Linked DNA regions of Rattus norvegicus. The protein of the gene in region 2 purifies or fractionates together with the protein of the main gene of each other region. This does not show direct contact. Links are inferred from orthologs where the notes say so. Each region holds a gene or a part of one and is shown on either strand. Other genes may lie near its edges.

Region 1 (4,781 bases), on a different chromosome or scaffold from region 2:
AGCCACTGATTCAGCTTCGCACAATAACAGACTGCCTTAATGACAGCCACGCGAACGACACACACCAAACTCACTTTTTACCAAGCCGAGGGAGGCCTGAGGGGAGTACCCAGGAGAGTGGGACCGGACCCCAGTGAAGGTTGTGGTGGTTGAAAATCTCCGGGGAGAGGGTGTGTACACTGTGGAAGGGTTCGCTTAGCTTTTGGCTCTGCTGGCTTAGGGAATACACTGCCCGGAGCCGAATTCCCCATTTCCAGTGATCGTGGACAACACGGAGACACTAGGGCTCTGGGACACTGCGGTCTCTGGGGGTGCCCGGCCGGGGTCGCGAGCCCATTGGCACTCTTCAAGGCTCAGTTGCCACCCTCGACCAGAGGTATAAAGCGTGCCTAACCTCCCCCAAACTTCCCAAAACTGCCGCGGCGTTCTCGCCACCCTTTGCCCACCTCTTCAGGGGTCCCTTTCCTACCGGGCACCCCGCCCCCCGCCGCCTCCGGGAGACTCCTCCTTAGAAAGAGCCTGCCAGGGAGGAGGGGCAGCAGCGGGGACGCGGGCCTCTAACCTCTCCCCGGTTCCTCAGTCCCCAGGACTGAACAAACGAGGAGAGCCTTGGCTGCCAGTGTTGGAGACGCCAGAGTCCGGAGGCCGCGTCCTGCGAGCGAGTCTAACGGTGACCGCGAGTGGGAGGCGCAGGCCGCCCAGCGTGCCTAGGGTCTTCGGGCCTGTGGCGGTGGGGCGGTGGGCGACGCGGCCTCAGCTCCAGCTCCGGGAGCAGAGCGGTTCGTCTCCCCGAACGTTTTGCAGGAATGTAAATGAGCGGGTTTTGCGCTGGGGGAGGGAGGCGAAGGGGCGAGGGCGGAGGCAGAGAGGACTAGGGGGCGGGGAGGTGGGGGCGGGGAGGAGGGTTGCACATTTTACAGCTCACTGACCATTTGGCGATCCATTGAGAGGAGGGTTTGGAAAAGTGGCTCCTTTGTGACAGCTCTCGCCAGATTGGGGGGCTGCTCATTTGCATCTCATTAGTTATGCGAGCGGCCGGCGGGATTTAAGGGTGGCAGGCGCCAGCCCCGGCCAGATCCTCCGGCGTGCACCCGCGGTTACCCTGTCTGACCAAGGCAGGTCACGGGAGAGCACCGGTGCGGCACGGAGCCTCCCACGCTTCGGCCTCCGGTCCTGGGTGTGTGTGTTCTCGCATGGCATTGGCTGAATTCTTGAGGAAGACGCGAGGCTTTGCGATAGTGGAAGAGATACCGGTCTAGAACACTCTGGGAGCGGCAGCCGCCGCCGAGTGACGCCCGGCCGGGAAACCAGGGCGCGCGCCGCAGTCCTTGCCACCACCTCCAGCCCGTTCCCACCGTGCCCCTCGGGGCCCCGGATTATCGCCTCACCGGTGGGATTTCCAGACAGCCGCTCTCTAATAGGCCTGCGAAGGAAGCCACTGCAAGCTCTCTTGGGAATTAAGCTGAACATCTGGGCTCTCTTCCCTCTGTGTCTTCTCTCCTTTCTCCTCTTTCCCTCCGCGAAGAAGCTTAAGACAAAACCAGAAAGCAGGCGACCCTCACTTACCCGTGGACTGGAAGCCAGAAGAAGAGGAAACCGAAAGTTGTCCTTTCTCAGTGCCTCGCAGAGCTCTTGTCAGGGACATAGCTGTAGCACCGCACCCTCCTGAAGCGACCTGGCCCGATATCACACCTGGAGCCGAGAGGCGCCTTTCCACCAGTGCTCCTCGGGTCACATAGACTTTCCGGGCATCCCTGGGTCTTTGAAGAAGAAAGAAAAGAGGATACTCTAGGAGAGCAAGGGCGTCCAGCGGTACCATGGGCCGTCGGAGCGCGCTAGCCCTTGCCGTGGTCTCAGCCCTGCTGTGCCAGGTAGGGGGCCGGGCGGGGCTGCTGCGCGGTGGAGGGAGGGGAGTCGGACAAGCGGATCAGCTGTCCATCCCCAAGTGACTCCCGCAGCGATGACCCCGAGAGCTGCCCGGCAGCGGGCGGCTCCGGATGGGCGCTGAGGTGCGCTCGGCCTCTGCGTCCTAGCAAGGGCCCGCGCGCCCCGGGTCCCTCCGCCGCCGGCGCGTCCTCACGCCCCTTCCCCGCGCAGGTCTGGAGCTCTGGCGTATTTGAGCTGAAGCTGCAGGAGTTCGTCAACAAGAAGGGGCTGCTGGGGAACCGCAACTGCTGCCGCGGGGGCTCTGGCCCGCCGTGCGCCTGCAGGACCTTCTTTCGCGTATGCCTCAAGCATTACCAGGCCAGCGTGTCCCCGGAGCCACCCTGCACCTACGGCAGTGCGGTCACGCCAGTGCTGGGTGTCGACTCCTTCAGCCTGCCTGATGGCGCAGGCATCGACCCCGCCTTCAGCAACCCCATCCGATTCCCCTTCGGATTCACCTGGCCAGTGAGTGGGCACCTGCGCGCACTCCGCTGGGCCTGGCCGGGTAGGGGTGGCGGGCTGGTGGCTGGCAGTGGGAGGGAGGCACGGGCCACTGATAAGGGTTGGGAAATCCCACAAAGCCACGCCTGGGGTCTTGACTTCTTTCTGGGAACTGGCCGGCAGTTGAGGAGGGGATGTGGGACACCAGAAGCTTTTGCAAGCCCGGGGCATTTCTCACAAACCTCAAGGGTCGAATGCTTCCCCCACCCCCCCCAAAGTTGGGAGAGTTCTTGTTCCCTAGCTCCTAGGCCTGGGTTGGGTCGCTCCCAGTGCTGCGACTGCTCGCTACCCTCGAGGTTCTATCCCCAGAAAACTAATGACAGCTGCCCTCTTCTAGCACCCCACCTTGTTGGTTTCAGTACTCTCTCTTAAAAAAAAAAAAAAACACCACAATATCCTGTATTAACATTTTTTAAAAAACCCACACTCATGGGAAAAACACTCTTTAAAATTTTCCTATTAAGGAAACTGATATGAGTTGACCTTCATTGGCACAATCCAGAGATCTGAGAGCCTCTGTACTTGGTTCCCTTTAATGCCTCTCCTCCAACTCCTCCTCCTCCCCCTCCTAGTCCTCCAACTCCTCCTCCTCCCTCCCCCCCTCCATACTTCTGGTTTATCAAGCATCCTCTCCCTTTTTCCTAGGGTACCTTCTCTCTGATCATTGAAGCCCTCCACACAGATTCTCCTGACGACCTCGCAACAGGTAAGGCTCCAAACCCCTCCCTCAACTATACATTCTCTTCATCGATGCACAGTTTACTTGACCCACTCACCCCAGTCCTCTGCTATCTTCGCTCTGCATCTGGAGTTCAGAGAAGGGTTCTTGGCTTGACAGCATCCATGCAGTGTCCTCAGTTCCTAGCTTTTGGGTGTTATCAGAACCAACCTGAGCTTCTTCTCTCCCAGAAAACCCAGAAAGACTCATCAGCCGCCTGACCACACAGAGGCACCTCACTGTGGGAGAAGAGTGGTCTCAGGACCTTCACAGTAGCGGCCGCACAGACCTCCGCTACTCTTACCGGTTTGTGTGTGATGAACACTACTATGGAGAAGGCTGCTCCGTGTTCTGCCGACCGCGGGATGATGCCTTTGGCCACTTCACCTGCGGGGAGAGAGGGGAGAAGATGTGCGACCCTGGCTGGAAAGGCCAGTACTGCACTGACCGTGAGTCCTCTGGGTCCATTTATGGGGAAAGACATGGGACTTAGCAACAGGAGATGGTAGAGATAGACCAGTGGGGAAACTGAGGCCTAAAGAGAAGTGTTTTTGCAAGGCTCGATGGCAGTTAGGCTGGATTCAGGCATTTTAACAAGGGAGACGTTGTGTCCACTGTAGGAAGCTGCTTTTCTTCACGGGGAGGAGTTCAGAGACAAGGCCAGGGGTCAGGAAGTAAGGCTGTGTTCTCCCTAGGGCCTTTGTATTAGAAAGGGAAGAGAGGAAGGGAGGGGCAGAAAGGGGATGTGGAGGGCTCATTTTCCAACAGTTCTCCTTGTTGCAACAATGTCTCATTGGGAAGCCCTCCCTTTCCTCCACAGAGTTAGGGTGCCTGACCTGCCTACAGAAATCTATTTCCAAAGATTCCCTGTGCTGTACTCTGTGTGCCCTGTCCTGTGGGGAGGCCTTCAATCCTTGGGGCTGTGCAAAACTAGCAGGTGTGCTGAGGTAGACTGCAGGGCTACACAGCTGAGGGTCACCTTGTCTTGTGTAAATGCTTACAGCACGCTGTCTGTAAGAAAAGCAGTAACTGACGTCCTATAACCCTCTTGCAAACCAGGGTACTAGGGCCACAGGGAGGACTTCTGCTCTGGTTCCTGCTCATAGGCACTTCAGGGGGCCTCTCTCCAGTAATCTGAGGCCAACCTGTAGGATTGGCATTTCCTCCCAACATCAGGGCCTGGTGAACTCTTGTTCTTCTGCCCCACAGCAGTTTGAACATTGGACTGTGTGAGGCCCGGAACTTCTGTCAGTGTGTGGGGGAGGATATGCATTAGCTATCTAGCTTTAGGTTTTGCTTGGGGATGAAGGGGGTCCACACTTCAGTGAGAGCCTGGACATCATTGTTGCCTAGTTTTCCATGTCCTTTGATGCTCCGCCTTGGCCAAGAGCTGGCTGTTTTCTTAAGAACTGGGGTTGCTGATCATTAATGGGTTTCATAACTGGGGAAGTGAGCCAGCTCAAAGCCTCAGCCTGTGGCCATCCCCCCACCCCTTCAGGCGCCTCTGGCCTCCCACAGTAGCTTTCCTCTCTCAGGGCCAATAGTTCTAGGGTAGCCAGAAATCTAAACTTCTCTTATTCCAACACTGGGGTCTCTCCCCGCCCCTACTTACACGTGCCATAGATTAGATCTCTCT
Region 2 (4,215 bases):
GAGGAAAGACCTGTTGGGCCCACAGAGGACAGGTGAGAGAGCAGAAGTCAAGACAGTCCCCGGAGGGCTGGGAGTCACGTTGTACTCGTCCAGGAGGCGAACTATGTCATGGTGCATGCGGTCCCGAGCCACATCCCGGGGAAGGCGGTCCATGTGGTCCGTGATGTCCCGGTTGGCAAAGTGGTCTAACAGGATTTTGGCTGCTTCATAACTTCCCTCTCGGGCAGCAAGAAACAAAGGTGTCTCTTCCTGAAGAAAGACCGTGGAACATATCTTTAATACCCAGAGCACACAGAAATGTTCCTAACCTTTATTCTCTTATAATCTTTTTAGTACGTTTTCTAAGTGCTTCTTCTATGAAATACCATGGACAGACAGTATCTCTTCCTATATGCCGTGTACTTTGACTTCCACAGAGATCTCAGAACTCACTCTGCTCCCAGGAGCACCAGCAATTAGACAGCAGTCAGTGACAGGAAGCAGGCCTCAGGGCCAGAGCTTCACATCAAGTGGACAGCAAACTGGGCTACCAGTAAGAAAGAGAGTAGGGAAACCAAAGTATCCAAAGAATTCAGAACACGAAAGAGAGGGGGTGAGACTTGAGGGAAAGATGTACAACAAAGGAAAGAAGTAAATGCAAGAGGAATAAAGGAGAGGCGTGTCAGGAGGGACCACAAAAGGTAGTGCCAACCCTAGTAGACTTTGGTATCCAAGAACAGAGAAACCAACTGCTGCACAGAGAGAAGGGGAAGACCGTGAGGACAGTGGTGAGCACACACCAGAGAAGCCCCTGTTGAAGGAGAAGGGCGGGGAGGGTGTGCCGAGGGACAGCCTGATGAGCACGGAACAGCCAGGGGCTGCCTCCCAACAAGCTGCATCCTCCCTCAGGGTCTCTGTCCCTGGCTCCCCCAGCAAGCTTCCCCAGGTGACCTCCTAAGGGAGACACTGCTGTGAGCATGCTCAGGCTCTGAGCTGAAAGCTGTACCTTGTTGTCCTGCATATCCCGGTTGGCCCCATTCTTCAACAGCAAAAGAGTTGCCTCCACATTATTGACGGCGGCTGCCCAGTGGAGGGCAGATTTTCCTGCAGGGGAAACGTTTTATAAGTATGGCACTAAGGAAAGTGTTGTGTTGTTTATTTATTTATTTTTATCTTGTTTTTGTTTTCTAGGAAACCCTAACCTCCCGGAGAACAGCAGCAGGACAGACCTCAGTGGCCAAGGGAGCCAACAGGAAAGCACACTTGTATTTCTGTTCCTTGTGTTCTCAGAACATTTCAGCACAGGCTGGGAGCCTTTAGGTGACAGGACCCCTGGTGTGTGACATTCATGGCCTCCACATGCCCCAGTTCTACACACTGAAGGCAGGAAGCGCTTTGCTATACGCCAAATGCATACTTAAGCTGTCTCGTAATCCCCAGGGAACCCACTCCCGTAGTAAGAGTGGTTACGGCTAGGAACCCACAAGCAAACCTTTCCAGAACATTCTTTGAAATTCAAGAACCCTCATACTGAAAACACTAAAACCAAAAACCCTTCTCATCTTTTTTTTTTTTTTCCCGGAGCTGGGGACCGAACCCAGGGCCTTGCGTTTGCTAGGCAAGCGCTCTACCACTGAGCTAAATCCCCAACCCCAACCCTTCTCATCTTAATGTGGGGACTCCTAGTGCCTCAGTTCTCTGAGCCCAGCATATTGAAGGAAGGGTGTGAGACGGGAAAAGAGTAAGGGACTCTCAGCTTCAGATCTCCAGATCTGAGAACGTCCTCTCAGGGGAGTGTAGCAATTCTCTTGCTTAGAGACATGCTCTGCAGACTGAGCCAGGTCCTCGTCCATACCATGGTCATCCACTGCGTTCACATCTGCTTGGCAGTTGATCAGCTCTGCCACCATTCCTTCCACAGCCAGGCGGGCAGCCAGGATCAGGGGGGTAGTGCCATCATTCATCCTGGCGTCTAGATCCGTTACTCGGTTGCGGATCAGAATCTAGAAGAGAAGCAGAGAAAAGTGTCCCTTAGATGAAGAAGAATGAGACAAGAGCATTCAGACTGAGGTGTCCTTGGGGCATGCTATCTTTATGTGCTAGAAGCTATAGTGGCTTCACTGTGTATTTGTTGAGTTTTTCACACCACTGTAGATGATCAGGATGCTCTGGCCCATTAGGACGATGTTCTGCTTTCTAAGGAAAGGGAAATGTGTGTGCAAGTGTCACAGCTTCAATCACAGGTCAGCTAGAATTTTCCAATTTCCTCATCAGGTTAATTGAGGAATAATTCACTACCCACTCATGTCAGGGATCAGCTGTAGGCCCACAGACGGGCAGAGTTATAGAGAATTAACACTAATCCAAGGATCTGGACCAGTTCCTGCTCCCATCCGACCTGTAGAGTTGCAAGGCATCACTGCATATCAAAATATTGCTCATTAAGATTCAGAACCCTGTGGCTGACTGAATCATTCTCTGGCTACTCAAAGTAGGTCAGCTGGCCTTCCTCCTTTTTCTGCCCAGCATAATTCGTTTCTCAAAGACTTCTGTTCCAATGAATTCAACGAGCTGGTAAGTGTTTGGGTAAAGCTGAGCCACCACAGGCCTATAATAGTTATTTTACTTGGTGTGTGTGCAGGCAGGTCCGTGCAATGCAGGAGTCAGTTCTTTTTACTATGTGAGTCCTGGGGACTGAACTCGGGTTCTTGGGGTTGGTGGCAAACACCTGTGGTGTTTTAAATGAGATGCTTGTTCCCAATAAGTCTCAGCCTTTGACTTAGGCCCCAGCTGATGGCCATTTGGGAAAGACTGAGGAAGTATGGCCTTGCTGGAGAATGTATGTCACCAGTGTGCTTTGAGGTTTGAAAAAGATGGTGCCACTCCCAGTAGCTCTCCACCTCCTGTCTGTGGTTCGAGATGTGAGCTCTCAGCTGTTCCTGCCCCCATGTCTTTGCTCCACCATTACGGACTCTGATCCTCTGGAAGCGTAGGCTCCATTAAATTCTTCCTATTATTAGCTGCCTTGGATATGGTATCTTACCACAGATAGAAAAGTAACTACGACATGCCTGTACCCAGTGAGCCACCTCACTCTTCCCACTCAAACCAACTCTGGCCCTTTACCTGGAAGACACCTTGGGCATCCGCTGCAACTGCAGCATGAAGAGGACAGCGGCCCATGTTGTCCTGGGCGTTGGCATCTGCACCAGCATCCAGGAGGCGTTTGGCAGCATCAGCTCTCGAATAGCGGGCTGCAAGGTGCAGGGCCATCTCACCAGTGCGGTCCGTCTGTGCCTGGAGGCTGGCACCTTGGTAGACCAAGTCTGTGATGATGTTGGCAGAAGAGTCCTCAGCATCTTCATCTTCATCACTCAGGTCTGAGCTGCCTCCTCGGAGAGAAGCCAGCATCAGTGGGGTGCACCCATCTGTAGGAAGGGAAGGTCCCAACAACATTCAAATTAACCCATTACTGGAACAGTTCTGCTGGCCATCATCCTGCTGTGGGACGGAACTCTCCAAGCTTGCAGTAACCATGCCAGGTTTTACGTGACAAAGCCAGCTGTGCGGAGAGTGTGGGAAAGCAGCTGCCTTTGCCTGCGGCTCTTCCTTAAGCTGATAAGCTTTTCTGCTTGGGTTTAAGTGGAATTAGGACATTTCAAACTAGACAGCATTTTATACAGAAACATAAATAAACCTGTGCAGTGATGTAAAGCAGGGATGGCAGTCGCCTTCTGCTGTGGGGTGCAGTGGTGGCATGAATGGGAATGGCCCTCACAAACATAGGTTTGAATGCTTGGTTAACAGGGAGTGACACTACTTAGAAGGATTGGGAGGTGTGCTCTTGTTGGAGGAAGTGTGTCACTGCGGGGTGAACTTCGAGGTTTCAAAAGCCCATGCCAGGCCCAGTCTGTCTGTCTGTCTGTCTGTCTGTCTGTCTGTCTCCCTCTCTTGGTCAGTGTCTCTTTACAGCAAGGAACCCGTGATGGAGACAGATAGTATTTTTCTAACACCCCCCACCCCCCAGAATCTAACTTGTTTAATTAGCCTGCTTGCCCTCAGTATGCTGTACAAGAAACACTGCAAAATCCCTTTCTTTGAAATCTGCATTTTCAATGGAAAACACAGTTAAGGATTTATTCAGTGAGTATGAGTGTTTTGCCTACATGGATTTCTGAACCGTGCGCATGGTTCACATGCAGGGTAGGAAATGGTGTTGGAGCCACTGGAACTGAA

What was found. The genes of interacting proteins can lie anywhere in the genome.
Region 1: the proteins of Notch2 (region 2) and Dll1 purify together in Homo sapiens (affinity purification with western blotting; 3 studies listed by BioGRID). This does not show direct contact. The link is inferred for Rattus norvegicus from reciprocal best matches to the Homo sapiens genes NOTCH2 and DLL1.

Annotation. Positions count from the first base shown.
Region 1 is NC_086019.1:64,990,027-64,994,807, reverse strand, and holds the start of Dll1 (delta-like protein 1 precursor), read left to right. Parts: upstream 1-1,533; 5' UTR 1,534-1,817; coding exon 1,818-1,871; intron 1,872-2,097; coding exon 2,098-2,391; intron 2,392-3,072; coding exon 3,073-3,133; intron 3,134-3,336; coding exon 3,337-3,594; intron 3,595-4,781. UniProt on the Homo sapiens protein: Transmembrane ligand protein of NOTCH1, NOTCH2 and NOTCH3 receptors that binds the extracellular domain (ECD) of Notch receptor in a cis and trans fashion manner.
Region 2 is NC_086020.1:188,424,324-188,428,538, reverse strand, and holds part of Notch2 (neurogenic locus notch homolog protein 2 precursor), read right to left. Parts: intron 3,408-4,215; coding exon 3,106-3,407; intron 1,983-3,105; coding exon 1,835-1,982; intron 1,084-1,834; coding exon 986-1,083; intron 250-985; coding exon 1-249. UniProt on the Homo sapiens protein: Functions as a receptor for membrane-bound ligands Jagged-1 (JAG1), Jagged-2 (JAG2) and Delta-1 (DLL1) to regulate cell-fate determination.